2 linked regions of the Diceros bicornis minor genome follow. The protein of the gene in region 1 interacts with the protein of each later gene in a biochemical or structural test. Links are inferred from orthologs where the notes say so. Each region holds a gene or a part of one and is shown on either strand. Other genes may lie near its edges.

Region 1 (7,129 bases):
GGTGAGGAAGATTAGCCCTGCGCTAACATCCATGCCCATCTTCCTCTATTTTTTATATGTGGGACGCCACCACAGCATGGCTTGATGAGCGGTGAGCAGGTCCACGCCTGGGATCCAAACCTGTGAACCCTGGGCTGCAGAAACGGAGCCCGCGAACTTAACCACAACGCCACTGGGCTGACCCCTGGACTCCAATGCTCTTGCCTTGACCTTCTTTGAGCCTCAGTTTCCTCATCTTGGCAATGGGAGCAGGAATTTACCCCCTTTACAGGGCCGTTGGGTGGCTCATTCAGCGGCCAACATTTGTCGAGCACCTCCTGTGTGCCAGGCACCGTGCGGAGCTGGCCGCTGGGTCACCGTGGGGAGCCTTCCTGACAGCAGGTTGCTGGCGTCCTCCTGGGCTTGGAGGAGGTGTGGCTGCCAGGGCTTGGGTATACAGCAGGCGCACCATGAACACTGGATTCTTCCTTGAGCTCCCGATAGGTTGCATCCCCACCCTCATCCTGACCTCTCGGGACCGACCCCAGACCTGAGAGGCAGCCCACGCTCCTGTTGGCCTCCCACCCCTACCTCAGGCTTCCATTTGAGGAACAAATCAGGGTCAGCCACCTCCAGCCTCCGCCAGCAGTCTCCCCACTGCCTGCGGCCCACCTAGCCTGCCCTGAACTGTCTTTCATTTCCCTCTTTCCCTATCAAAGAGGTGGCCCCCTTTGCATTCTCAGGCTAAGGGCTTTCACCTTCAGCTCAGCGGGTGGTCCAGCCAGCCTGTCCCTGGCTTGGTGAGAGGCGGTGCCAGACGGCACGGGGGGGTTTTCAGGGTCGAGCCCAATGGAGTTCTGGGCTCCCTTTGAGCCAGGCGATCCCAGGCTCTGCCACTTACTAGCTGTGCAATCTCAAGCCTCAGTTTCCTCTTGGCCTCAGTTTCTGTAACTGTAAAATAGGGCTAACCTATTTTATAACCTATTCATGTGGCTGTTGTGAGCATTAGACGCACCTTAGCTGGCGCCACCACACAGTAGTCAATATAAATGAATAAACCAATCTCAGCTGTTATGATTATTCTGCAAAACTTTGGCCCTTTGCCTACCCAGCATCCTTTTCCCCTCCTTCCAGCCATAGCCTCTGACTTCTCTTGGGGTTCTTCTCCTCCGTCTCACTGTGGTGGGGCAGGGCATGTGACCTGGTCCTCAGCCGTTCTCCCATCTCCTCCACAGGCCTGAGCGACTGGTTGGGGGACGGACATGTGATGCACTCAGCCAGTGAGCTGTGTTGGGACTTTAGCTGGAAATGCTGAGAGATAGATTCTTGCTCCCTGAGTGGGATTTGAAACTGTCTTGGACCGTAGGAGAAACTTGTCTGAGAATGAAGACAACAGGTGGAGGAGGTAACAATTCTGGGGCCATCATTTGAGCCCTGAGCAAGCTTTTCCTAAAGCCCGTACCTGGGCTTTTCATGCCATATTTATTGAACACTATTATGTGCCAAGTGCCACTCCTGTCGCTGGGGATGCAGCCAGGAACAAGGCAGTTCCCACCTCACAGAGGTCACAGACCTGCCCCAGGGCCTTTGCACTTGCTGTTCCTGTTACCTAGAATGCTCTTCCCCCGACATCTCTATGGCTCCCTCCTGCACTTCCTTCAAGTCTTGCCTCACAGACTATCCCCTCAGTGAGGCTGGCCCTGACCCCTCTGTTGGAAGTCACACACCCACACACCTCTTCTACCCTTTCCTGATTTATTTTACTCCTCGCACTTGAAACCACCTAATACACTCTATACTTATACGTTACTTCTCTATCTCCCCCACTAAAATATCAGCTCCATGAGGGAAGAGATTTTTGTCTGCATTGTTCACAACAGATCCATAGTGCCTAGAACAGAATCTGGCCTAGGGTAGGTACTCAGTGTTGAATAAATAGGGAGCTCCCAACAGACTATGTGAAGAGGTGACACTGTCCTTGCGGTTTGAAGGTTTAAGGAGCCAGCCATTCGATGACCCCCAGGGGAGGGCACAGCATGTGGCTGCTGTAGCCAGTCGATTCTCTTCTGATTTCAACCAGGTTGGATTAAATTTATTTTTTGAGAGGGGTGGTGTCACTTTCAACCTTAGGGATCCTGAGTTGCGCTGGGAAGGATGCAGTATTGGAGAGCTGCCTCTGGAGGGTGCAAGGCAACCCCGTTGCTGCCCCTGGACATTCAGTCACCAGCACATTATAAAAAGTGGGAGAATCCAGAGAGATGGTGGTGGTGGTGATGATGATGATGATGATGGCAATAATGGAGCATTTGCTTTGAAGTCTGTTTTAGTTTCCACAAGAGCCCTAGGAGGTAGGCACCGTTCTCATCCCTATTTCCTAAATGAGGAAAGTAATGCACAGAGAGATCAAGTAACTTGCTCAAGGTCCTTCAGCTATAAGTGGCAGAACCAGAAAAGAATAATAAGGAGATAAAAGTCACCATTGCCTGACCACGCCCCCCGCGCCCCCCGCCCCCCACGGAAAGGCAGGTGAGCTGCATGGCTAGGACGCCCAGGTGGGAAGGAACTCAGGAGGGGCCCTGCGGGGAAGCGGCTGTCCCCGCTTTGGGGCTCATTGCGCTCTCCACTCCCCAGCCCACCTGCCAGAGGTCTGGGGCCTCTGGGGCCAAATCTGGCCCGCTCACAAGTCAGGTGAAACGGACTCAAAGCCCCACCCCGCCCAGTTTGGGGAGGGAAGGCTGCCTGGAGGAAGCCGCGTTTGCTCACTGCCCTGGAGGAGGAGGAGGAGTCAGGCAGCTGAGGTGGGGGCAGCGAGTTCAGGCTGGGACACGGCGTGGGCAAAGCCCCGGAGGCGTGGGAGTGAGCAATCAATTTCTTCCAAGGCCCTGCGTGCTCTGAGGGAGCATTCACCCAAGCCCACCCCCGGGCAGGCGCGCCGCAACTTCCCCGGCCCACGGTTTCGTCCTCGCGCTCTTTCCTCCGCACGATCCAAGGACCGTCCACCTCCCTGCACTTGGGCTGCGCCTCGGTCTTATCCGCAGGCCGATCTCACACCGGGCCTGCGTCTCAGGACGCGGCCTCCGGGACCGGAAGGGGGTTCGGGGCCTCGCAGAGGCTGAGAGTCGTCTTCTCAGGCCTGAAGACCCCGGAGACTGGAAGCCCCACACGCAGCCCGCTCACCTCCCGGCCCTCTGGAGGCGCCGCGGGAGCTGCTGTGCAGTCGAGGTTCCTTCCTCCACTGCCCACCGGCGCCTGGGCTGAGGGCTGCTCGCTCCAGTCCCGCCTGGCCCCTTGGATCTGTTATTTAACCTCTCCGGGCTTCACTTACCTAATCTGGAAAATGGGTTAAGTGGGTTCCATGGATTCAATTGTAAACTGTTTACAGCTGTTGTCTGGCACACAGTAGTGCTACTATGTTGTAGATTATGTGGCTCTGGTGTTCTGGTTTCTCCTCCCTTCACTCTGCCGCATCATTCTTCTCTCATTACCCCAAGAAAGGAGTTTCCAGTATGGAAAGTGACTGTTTTTTTTTCTGCATCTTGAGTTTCATGATGCCTGTGGGGAAAGGGAAGCCTTTTAACAAAAACAGTTTGGGAGGAAATCTAGGTAGGAGAAAAGTTCCCCAGCCTGGAGCTTAGAAAAAAGATTTCCTGAGTGGGGAGAGGGGGGTTAGGGAACTGGGGGATAGTAGAGACTGCGGAGGGGGTCCCCAGGAGAGGAGACCTGGGCTGCAGCGTAGAGAAGACATCAGGCAGGCTGGGGAGCCGAGCCCACGTCCCCCGGGGTGGCAGAACCAGAGAGGAAAGGTTCTTAGGGTCTCAGCAGTGGGCTTGGGACAGCCCCACACAGGTCCCTGGGGCTCCACTGGGGGGCCAGCTGCTGAAAAAACCCCCCAGGCCCCAGAGGGCAAGGAAGAGGGGGTGAGAGAGGCCCAGAGGCCTTGGGGCGAGGGAGGAAGAGATGGGGTGAAGTGGACGTCGGAGACGGGCACTGGCTGTGCAGCAGAGCCGCTCTGTAGGCCACTGAGGGACAAGTGTGAGGCGTGGCCACCTGGTCAGAGGGGCGTGGGGGCCATCACGGGGGTGGGCGGGTGTGAGGGAAGGGAGGAAAGGAGCGTGAGGAAGGGGCTGTGGCCAGAGCAGAAGGTGGTGCTTAGCCAGGGCCAGCGTGTGGGGAAGGTCCGAGAGGGCCGAGCTGGGATTGGATGGGCACTGATCTTGACAATACGACCGATTCCTCTCAGAATCCTTCCCTGGCACCCCCAGGCTGCACTGGGCTCCTCTGGGTACACACAGAGGCCAGGCTTCCGCCGTCCCAGCCCTGGTCTCCCTGTTGCCTCAGCCGCCTCCTCCTCTAGCCTGTGAGCACTTTGAGGGCAGAGACAGGGCTGTCATTGCTGTCCCGATGCCTGGCACATGGTAGGTCCTCAGAACCTTTGAGGTATGGAATTATTTAGTAGGTTTCTCCTCTCTCCAGCTTTAACCTGTTTGTGGAATAAATAAATCACCCTTATGAGCAGTTCAGCCAGGGGCAGGCCCCGGATCGACGCCCCCTTGGGCGGGGAAAGTGGGGGCATTCCAGTTTCCAATGAGGCCTGGGGATCCTCCTCCCACCTCCAGTGCCCCCCCAAATCCAGCACACACAGCTCCCCTCCTCCCCCTCCCCAGGTCTGGGGATGCTGTTGGAATCGTTTCTGCATCGTCCCTGCCTGCAGCCAGCCTCGGGTCCCCAGCGTGGGCTCGCCCTGCTTGGCCCCGGAAATGCCCTCTGCCCTCCCCGAGCACGTGGCCCCGATTTTCCTTGAACGCAGCACTTTGTAACTTTGACGCAAACTTCAAACGCAGCCCCCTTTCCTGTCTTCGCATCGCGGAAATAGGTTGAGTTTCAGAGAAACCCGCCGCCAGGAGCACAGCAGGCCTTCCGGCCCGGCTCCCTGCCCAGCCTGGGCCTCCGCGCTCTGCCGCTGCGTCCAGGTGAGTGGCCATCCTCCGGCCCTCTGCCTCTGTCCTGCAGCCACGGCCACCACAGGGGACTCTGGGGCAGTGGCAGAGGGTGAATAAAATTCCCGCTGAGCGAGAAACCCTCGTGGGGTGTGACCTCCTTATACCTTGCCTGCGTGTGTGAATGGGGGTGAACCGGGGGGCCTCAGGCTGGGGGCTCAGGCTGCAGAGAAATGCAAGTTGGTTTTCTGGGTCCCAATTCTTCACCTAGAACCTGCTGTCTGTCGGCGTTGGGGACCACAGACCTTGCAGGTGGCCTGTTTGGCTCGACGCCCGTCTGCACATCTCCAGGTAAGTCATCCTGGATAGAGCGGCCGCTGGCTGCCTTCTCCAGGGGTGGCCTGGGTCTGTTGGAGGAGGACAGAGTCATGAGGCCACTGGGGAGGACCAGGAGGGCTGTAGCACTGGGATGGGTGGTGTCCAGCTGGAGAAGGAAGCAGACATGGTTTGTGCCACCCTGAGGGAAGCAGCTCCCCTCCAGACCGTCAGCAGAGCGGTGTTGTCCAGGGGACACAGAGGTGTCTGCTCAGCCCTTGGCCTCCTTGGGCCCCATCAGGGTGGCATCTGTGGCTCCAGGAAGCAGAGAAACCTCCAGAGAAAACAAACGTGTGGTCTGTCACCCACCCACCGCCCCCCCTCCCCCCGGCCCCGTGAATATGAGGGTGGCTTGGCAGGGCGGTGAACTGGAACGACAAAACGCCGATGATTGCCGTGAGGGGGCCCAGGGCAGGCTCGAGCCACCTGTAGGGGAGCTCAGGTTAAAGGGGGGCCCGGAGAGGTGAAGGAGCAAACAGCTTGAATCCTGCTCAACCGCTGTGTGTCCTTGGCAAGTTGCTTGGCCTCTCTGAGCCTCAGTTTGCACATCTGTTAAATGCAGATGCAAATATTGGCTCCTGGCTGTTGGGCCAGTGGTCGGGGAAGGCATCCCAGGCAGGAAAGAGTCTTGGCAGGAAGGAACAGGGGTCATGTGGGAACAACTCAAGATAAGTGTCATCATGACTCTCATCTCAGCCGGGGCAGCGTGCACACAGTAGGTGCTTAATAAAGCTTTGCTGAGAGATTAGGGTCAGGGACTCCTGGGATGGACGGTCCTAGGGGCCACATGTGAAGGCTCCTCTCCTTCGCCGCTGCAGAGCTTCTCTTCCTTCTGTCGCCCGTCCCCAGCCCCACGCCCGCACCCTGGCAGGAACACAGGGCGGGCAGGCAGCCTGGATGGTGTTTCCGTGTACCCTCTGGAGCCAGGCAGCCCAGATTCGAGTCCTGGCTCTGCCACCTACTGTGTGTGCTGTGTGACCTCGGGCAGGTCACTCCACCTCTGTGTGCTTCAGGTCCCGAATCCACACGTCCTCCACTCACAGGGTTCTCTCGAGGATTGGGCGAGTGACTACCTCTAGAGCATCTGGTGCATAGTAGGCACTATATAAACATCTCGCTATAATCCTCATTATCATTACCAGCTCCGGGCGGTCTTGGGCTCTGGACTTGATGGCTCCTGGAGACTCTCCTGGGGCTGCAGCCTGCTGGCCCTGCTGGCCCTCCTGCCCCACCCCGAAGTGTAGGGTTGAGGCAGCGGTTCTCACTGGAGCCAATTTTCCCTCCCTCCCCTGCTCCCCCAGGGACATTCCATAACGTCTGGGGACATTTTGGTCATGACTCAGGGTGTTACGGCATCTAGCAGATAGAGGCCAGCAATGCGGCGAACAACTACAATGCACAGGACAGCGCCGTGCTGTCCCCACCTCTCTATCAGGCGCCGTCCCCCGACTCGTCCCACCTTTTCCATCCCCTAAGCCTTTCCCCATCTCCCTTTTACAATCACAGAGCTTGACACTCAGAGAGGGAAAGTTCCTGGCTGAGGTCACACAGCCCTTAGAACCTAGGCAGCAGAGGTTGGGGCGGGGGACTGGTCTTGTAGCATTGTTCAGTCAATCCACAGACACTGAGAGAGTCTGCTGGACGTGGGGACCTGCCCCTGCCCCCCAACAGCCCAGCAGTCTGGGCCCTGACAGTCAAAGGCAGCTCAAAGGGCAGCGACACCTGGGTCAGCCTGGGCTCTGTGGGGACATGAGAGCCCCTGGGTGCCAGCTCGGGGCCGTGGCTTCTGCTCTCCCGATGCACATTCCCTGGAGTGGTTAGTGCCGGCTGCTGGGTGA
Region 2 (7,376 bases), on another chromosome or scaffold:
CCAGCGGTTCTGGCTGCTCCTCCTGACCCGGGGCCTGGTGGGGGTCGGGGAGGCCAGTTACTCCACCATCGCGCCCACTCTCATCGCTGACCTCTTCGTGGCAGACCAGCGGAGTCGGATGCTCAGCGTCTTCTACTTTGCCATCCCAGTGGGCAGGTGAGTGGGCCTTGGGCCTGATGGGGAGGCAGAAGGGCCTGGCGTGGGGGACGCGACTGACCAGCTGTCTCCTCTCCTCTCCCACTCCCTTCCCCCAGTGGTCTGGGTTACATTGCAGGCTCCAAAGTGAAGGATGTGGCCGGGGACTGGCACTGGGCTCTGAGGGTGAGTCTGGTCACGGCCTGCCGAAGGTCAGGAACATTCTCACTGATCCCCGTTTCCTACCTTCAGACACCCCCTCTTTTGAGGCAGTCTCACTCTTGCAAGCCTTCAGGAAGCCTGGCTGCCCTCACCATGAAGCCATGTGCTAGAACTCTTGGTTGCAGGTGACAGAAGCCCATTGAAAAACTGTAAGCCCCAAAATGGGACTTTCTTGGCTCTCATAATGGAAAGTCCCAGGGTGAGCTTCAGGTAAAGCTGGATCCAGGACTCACCCACTGTCACAGGAATTTGATCATCCTTTTCTCAGCTCTGCTTTCCTCTGTGTTAACTTCATTCTCAAGCAAGGGAAAGCTCCACATGTTTGTATTCCTATTTAGAAGCATCAGCACCCTGGATCCTTGGGCAGTAGTCCTACATGGTGTCTGATTAAATGAACATGGGTCACATGCCTGCCACTGAATCAGTCACTGAGGCTGGGGAGGGTAACACTACTCTTGTTGGCCAAGTCTGGATTACAAGCCCCGCCCTGTTTGAACTACATGGATTGAGAGAAGGCAGAGTGGTTTCCTAGAAGAAAATTAGAGTACTGTTACCAAAGAGGGAGCAGCTAGGCTTGCAGACACGGGGCCCCTAGTGGCATTTGCCCCTCCCCCCAGTTGTAAGTTTAGCTTCCCTGAACAGGCACTCACCTGGCTGTTTGAGGTCTTGAGGCCTGAGTTGCCTTAATACCCCCTCACTTTCTCCCAGCCCCAGGTTGAGTGTGTCCCTCCCTGTGCCTGTCCTGAAGCCCACTCTTCCCCCAGGTGACACCAGGTCTAGGAGTGCTGGCTGTTCTGCTGTTGTTCCTAGTAGTACGGGAGCCGCCGAGGGGAGCTGTGGAGCGCCACTCAGACTCACCGCCCCTGAGCCCCACCTCATGGTGGGCAGATCTGAGGGCTCTGGCAAGAAAGTGAGTTTAGTTCCATTCTCACCCAACATCTGAGGCCCCCCAGGGAGGCCTGACATCTAGTTTGAGATTTAGTGGGCGTGGTCTTTGTTTTCTCTTATGCCAGCTGGCTCTACCTCAGGGCCTGGAATTCAGTCACCACTGCCTCCTTGTGGCAGCAGCTTGAATTACAGGCCCAGATCCTGGGCACCAGGACAGCCTTCACCCGGGGCCCAGACCTTATTAAAATAAGTCAGGAAGGGAGAACAGAGGTCCCCTACCCCAACACCTCAGTGGAGTCTGACTTCTCCTCCCAACTGTCTGCAGTCCCAGTTTCATCCTGTCTTCCCTTGGCTTCACTGCTGTGGCCTTCGTCACGGGCTCCCTGGCTCTTTGGGCTCCTGCCTTCTTGCTGCGTTCCCGTGTGGTCTTGGGGGAGACCCCACCCTGCCTTCCTGGAGACTCCTGCTCTTCCTCTGACAGGTACCCAGATTGGGGCTGTGCTGGGTGGCCTGCAAGCGGCAGGGGATGGAGTGGAGAGAGTCTGCGATTCAGACTCAGGCAAGGAGAGTTTGAGCCCCAACCCCAAAGCTACTTCCTCTCCCCGAGTCTCAGTGTCCTGGTCTGGGAAACAGGGATGGGGTGACGCCTTCCTCTTTGAGCTTAGTGAACTGTGGGGTGCTGTGCCTGGATAGACCTGGGCTGTGAGGGTGGCTGGGATGGACCATCTTCCTCTCCAGGCCGTGGGGGTGAGGCTAGGGGGCTTTGCAGCCAGAGGGTCTAGCCCGCACCCCCTCCACTCCCCCCAGCCTCATCTTCGGGCTCATCACCTGCGTGACTGGCGTCCTGGGTGTGGGCCTGGGCGTGGAGGTCAGCCGCCGCCTCCGCCGCTCCAACCCCCGGGCTGACCCGCTTGTCTGTGCTGCTGGCCTCCTGGGCTCCGCACCCTTCCTCTTCCTGTCCCTCGCCTGTGCCCGTGGTAGCATCGTGGCCACCTATGTGAGTAGCCCAGAGGTATCAAGGGGGGTGTTCCGGGTACAGGGTGGAGGAACGGGGTACTGGGGCAGGACTGGGGTCAGCCAGCCAGTTCAGAGCCGACTCTGGAGCAGGAATACCCAGCTTTGCATCTCAGCTCCAGCCTTTCCCAGCTGTGTGACATTGGGCAAGTACTTAACCTCTGTGCTGGGTTTCATCACCTGTAAAATGGGAGTGATAGTAGCACCTGTTGTGAGGATTAAATGTGTTAACAGATGGGCCTGGTACCTGGTAAACCCTCCATGTATTTGCTCTTCTTGTGATGAGGACCCCCCCCCACCCCCCAGATTTTCATCTTTATCGGAGAGACACTGCTATCCATGAACTGGGCCATTGTGGCTGACATTCTGCTGGTGAGTAGCCGGGCCGCTCCAGGGTTAGCCCAGAGGCTAATGAGAGCAGGGAGTGGGGGCAGCAGGCCTCACTTTCCTTGAATTGTGGCCTTGACCTCATCTTCAAAACCAGCCCCAGACTGACTTCAGAGTCCAGCCCCAGACGGGTCTGTAGCCTTCCCCCCAGTCACACCTCTGAGCCAGGGTTCACCTCTGACCTCAGCCTAGGCTGAGCCTTGGCCTTGTCCTCAGCCTCTGCCTCCTGCCCCTCCTCCCCCCAGTACGTGGTGATCCCCACACGACGCTCCACCGCCGAGGCCTTCCAGATTGTGCTGTCCCACCTGTTGGGTGACGCTGGGAGCCCCTACCTCATTGGCGTGGTGAGCACTGCCCCTTGGCCGGGCCTGGGGTGGGAGTTGGGGGCCCCTGCATTCCTAGCACCGGCTGGTGGTCACTGGCCTGAGCCTGGGCCACATTGGAAGGTCCCAGTTAGGGTCTGTGCCCTCTGTGCCAGGCCCCCTCACCTTGGGTCCTCAACTAGTCAGGAAGGGTTTTGTCCTGGCAGATGCCCACAGTGAGGCCGTGGAGCTCGCCTGGCGGACCAGCCCTCCTGCCCTTCCTGGCTCCAGGCTTTGTTCTCTGGAGTTCGGGGGCTCTCTCTCCCTGACCCCGTCCCCTGGCCTTCCTCTCCTGTCTCCGGCAGATCTCCGACCGCCTCCGCCGGCGCTGGCCCCCCTCCTTCTTGTCTGAGTTCCGGGCCTTGCAGTTCTCACTCATGCTCTGCGCCTTCGTTGGGGCGCTGGGGGGTGCGGCCTTCCTGGGCACCGCTCTCTTCATTGAGGGCGACCGCCAGCGAGCCCACCTGCACGTGCAGGGTCAGTTGCGCCTTCCCTCTGTCCATCCACAGCTCCTTGCCCTGCTTGTCCATCCGTCCGTGTGCTCGGTCCTGTGTGTCTGTCATCCCTCAGTCCACAGCCCTCCCCTCATGTGGCTTCAGCTCTGCCTGTCCAACAAGCTGATGCCCCTGTGTCCACAGCCCTGGTGGCTCTGCTGCCCAGTCCATTGCCCGCTGCCTGTCGGTCCCCTCCCTGGCTTTGTGTCTATCTTTGCCTCCAGCCCTGGCTCTGACCCCTTCCCGGCAGGTCTGCTGCATGAGACAGGGCCCGCAGATGACCGTATCGTGGTGCCCCAGCGAGGCCGCCCCACCCGGGTCCCCGTGTCCAGTGTGCTCATCTGAGGGGTTGTTGCTCGCCCACCTGCACACCTACCCCAGGAGGTGCCCGGGCCCAAACCCACAGCCTGGCCCAGCTTCTGGGAGGGACCTTGGGCCATGTTCCAGCTCCTAGACACTACACAGGCAGCCAAGCAGGGGGCAGGGGGGTCCGGGAATGGGGTCCCCCTCCACTGGAGCCGCCCGAGGGGCTCGGTGCTATTTGTACCTAAATAAAATTTATAGCCAGACCCCAAATGCCTGCTGAGTCTCTCTCGGTGCTAGCGATCTCTGACCTCTGGACTGCAGGGGATGCCATGTCTGCAGCCCCAGGACCCCCTGGGGGCTGTTGGGTCACTCCTGTGGGGCCTTGGGCAAATCCCTGCCCTTTGGGGCTGGGTGAATGAGAGGGTGGAGTGAGCTGGCTCAGTGTGATGGTGAGTCACGCCCACGTTTCCCCCAGAGCCCGCCCCTCTTGGCAGGCTGGCCAGGGGGAGGGGGTGTGGGCACTGCCCTGTGCCCCTCGGGGATTCCTGGTGTCAGAACCTCCCTCCCTGCTGCCTCCTCGAGCCGCGGCTGAAGGCTGCGGCTGCTGGCCTGCCAGGCTTCCCTCCTGCCACTGGTATAGTTGCCTCTTGTCCTGGAGGCCGGCAGAGCCTTCTTGAGGGCCTGGGGTGGCTCATCGGGCCTCCTCCCCCTCCCCACTGTCTGGGTGGGGGTGGGAAGGGGGCGGGTGCAGCCGGCTGAGGAGCCCGATGATTTCCTGCCCTCACCCGGCGCTCACCACAGCTTCCTGCCGCAGGCGGGCGGGCGAGGAGGAGAGGCGGGCGCCAAGCTGAGGGGCAGGTAGGACTGGGGTGCAGGGTCTGCGCAGGGTGGCTGGTGCCTCAGACTCCAGTCAAGGCCCTGGCCTGACCGCCTGGGGATCAAGGGTCTTCCAGAGCCAGCGCTGACCCCCACTCAGTCCAGTGAGAGGAGGGGATCCAGGGCCCCCAAGGAGGGCACAGCTGTCCCCACCTGGCTCCTGCCTGGTGCCCACTGGTCCCGGCACCTTGCTGGCCCAGTCCTCGCCCTGCTGCAGCTCTGCCCCTGAGGGGCGTGCGGCGAACAGCCAGGCCTGGTCCAGGCTCTCTTCTGCAGATGGAGGCGGCCATCCTGATCCCCTCCGTGCTGGGACCCCTGCTGCTGCCTCTCTTGGCCGTGTTGCTGATGGCACTGTGTGTGCGCTGCCGAGAGCTGCCAGGTGAGCGCGAGGTGGCGAGGTGGCCAGGTGCTCGGACACACTGACAGGGCTCCTCACCCTGCCCCCAACCCCTTGCTCCGTCTTTAACTGTCCCTAACTCTGTCCTGCACACGGAGATACGGAGAGCCCCGGCCTCCATCACCGTTTCCCCTTGTCACCCCCTTTTCCTGTCTCTCTTTTCCAGGCTCATATGACAGTGCTGCCTCTGATAGGTGAGTCGCCCCCCGACCGTGTGTCTGTCTCCCTCAATACTCATGCGGGGCTGGGCTGGGGGGCTGGCTGGGCCTCTCCCGGCCCTTCCCCTAGCTGTGTGTTTCCTGCCAGCTTGACCCCGAGCAGCATCGTGATCAAACGGCCTCGTGAGTACACGGGGTGTCTCCTCCCTCGAGTAGGGGAGAGGGTCCCCGGGGGTGTGAGAGAGCGTGTGCCTTTGTTCAGGTTACCCCCCACTGTGGCGTCCACATGGCCTTGACCTGAGCTGGGGATGGGGAGGGAGATGGGTGGCCTCAGGCCTGTCCAGGGGTGTCAGGGGTTAGCCTGCCCTTTGAGGCCTCGAGGATGGTAGGGGCATGAGGTTGGAGTCATTCCTTCAGCTTGGTCCTGTGTCCTCAGCCACGCTCGCCCCATGGCCACCGGCCGCTTCCTACCCGCCTGTTACCTCCTTCCCACCCCTGAGCCAGCCAGACCTGCTCCCCATCCCGTAAGTAGCCCGTTCCTCTCCAGAGTCTCCTCTTTACCCCTCACCTCCTTGGATTGGGGCCTCTTTCCCTGTTGTTACCCCTCTTGTCCCAGAGCCCCACTCCAGCATAACCTCTGACCTTTGACTCCCAGGAGATCCCCACAGCCCCCCGGGGGCTCCCACCGCATGCCATCTTCCCGGCAAGGCTCAGATGGTGGTAAGCGTGGAGCGGCCTGGGGGGCTGGGGCTGTACATAGGCTAGGCCCCGCCTGAGCTGACTCAGTCTCCCTCACTCTCTCTCTGCAGCCAACAGTGTGGCGAGCTATGAGAACGAGGGTGCTTCTGGAACCCCAGGTGCCGTGGCTAGGGGAAGGCTAAGGCCTGCCCCAGGCTTTGCCGACCCCCGTGTCGTTACCCCAGAGCCAGCCTGTGAGGACGCGGATGAAGATGAGGATGAGGAAGACTATCACAACGAGGGCTACTTGTGAGTTGCCCGGCGGGAGGTGGGGGCTGCGGCCGGGAGTCCGTGCTCACACACCCCTTGACTTCCTTACAGAGTGGTGCTTCCTGACACTGTCCCAGCCACCGGCACCGCCGTCCCGCCACCTCCTGCGTCCAAAAACCCCGGCCTCCGAGACAGCGCCTTCTCCAGTGAGTCGGCCATTTCTGACCCCTCCCTGGCCCCTCCGTGCTGGGGCCCCTCCCCTTCTCCTTCTCCTGTTATTTCTTTGATGCTTGCTACCCTCCATTTTCTCTCCTCTCTCTTTCTAGAACTCCTGTTCTTCAGAGAGTGGACTTCCTGCTCCGATCTCATTTTCTTACTTTTTCTCTTCTCTTTCCTATCTTTTTATCTTTTCCTTTTATTGTTGGCGAGATTTCCTTGACTTTCTTCTTCTTTTGACTCCGTTCCTTGATTCTGCTCTTTTATGTTCTCTCTTCTATCTGAAAGTTCTTTGTTGATCTCTGACTGTTCCTTTTTCATAGCCTCCTGTTCTTGTTTCATGGAGGCAATATCATTTTGTACATTTCTAAGGGTATTGATTATACATTTTGCCGGGGGCAGTTGTTTTGGAAGTGTTCTTCTGCTTCCTGCATTGCTTTGGTTTCCTTGGAGCTGCTGTTCCCCCTTCACTTTGGTCTCATCCTGCCTGTGAGAGGCTTTCCTCAATGTCTGGTGGTCTTCAGGGTTCTGTTACTCTCCTCTCTCTCTGTACTCACTCTGGGCCACCCCTTCTACATCCTGGCTTCATTTGCCATACAGATTCCCAGTGCCTCTCTCCTGAGCTCCAGATCACTTGTCCAAGTGCTTCTTTTCATTCATTCATTCATTCGTTCACTCACTCATTCATTCATCGTATTCACTGTGTGCCTCTGATACAACAGCTCGTGAGGTAGAGTCATGATAAAAGAGCTGATGTTTGTTGAGGGCCTACCACATGCCCTACTAAGAGTTTTCCATGTGTTGACTTATTAAACCTCACAATGCCCAGGTGCTGCTGTGCCTGCCCCTTCCCCTCCTGGCCTCCCTTGTCACGTCTGTACAATGGCAGCGCTTACTGTATGACAGGCCCCGTTTTAGCATTCACTGCCATAATCCTCAAAACACCCCACGAGGTGGGTGCTGTTACTTGCCC

The links. The genes of interacting proteins can lie anywhere in the genome.
Region 2: of the proteins of tyrosine-protein kinase ZAP-70 (region 1) and LAT, one has a biochemical effect on the other in vitro, tested with the Homo sapiens proteins (2 studies listed by BioGRID). The link is inferred for Diceros bicornis minor from reciprocal best matches to the Homo sapiens genes ZAP70 and LAT.

Annotation. Positions count from the first base shown.
Region 1 is NC_080779.1:15,567,043-15,574,171, reverse strand, and holds the start of tyrosine-protein kinase ZAP-70, read left to right. Parts: upstream 1-4,124; 5' UTR 4,125-4,380; coding exon 4,381-4,394; intron 4,395-4,852; coding exon 4,853-4,949; intron 4,950-5,187; coding exon 5,188-5,267; intron 5,268-7,129. UniProt on the Homo sapiens protein: Tyrosine kinase that plays an essential role in regulation of the adaptive immune response. Regulates motility, adhesion and cytokine expression of mature T-cells, as well as thymocyte development.
Region 2 is NC_080765.1:22,226,393-22,233,768, forward strand, and holds the start of LAT (linker for activation of T-cells family member 1), read left to right. Parts: upstream 1-4,370; 5' UTR 4,371-4,666; exon of another isoform or gene 4,667-4,960; coding exon 4,961-5,063; intron 5,064-5,247; coding exon 5,248-5,275; intron 5,276-5,387; coding exon 5,388-5,422; intron 5,423-5,675; coding exon 5,676-5,763; intron 5,764-5,894; coding exon 5,895-5,959; intron 5,960-6,048; coding exon 6,049-6,226; intron 6,227-6,298; coding exon 6,299-6,393; intron 6,394-7,376. Other genes in the region: SPNS1 (protein spinster homolog 1), read left to right, coding at 5-156, 255-321, 1,122-1,267, 1,571-1,726, 2,053-2,242, 2,566-2,631, 2,892-2,990, 3,314-3,485 and 1 more. UniProt on the Homo sapiens protein: Required for TCR (T-cell antigen receptor)- and pre-TCR-mediated signaling, both in mature T-cells and during their development.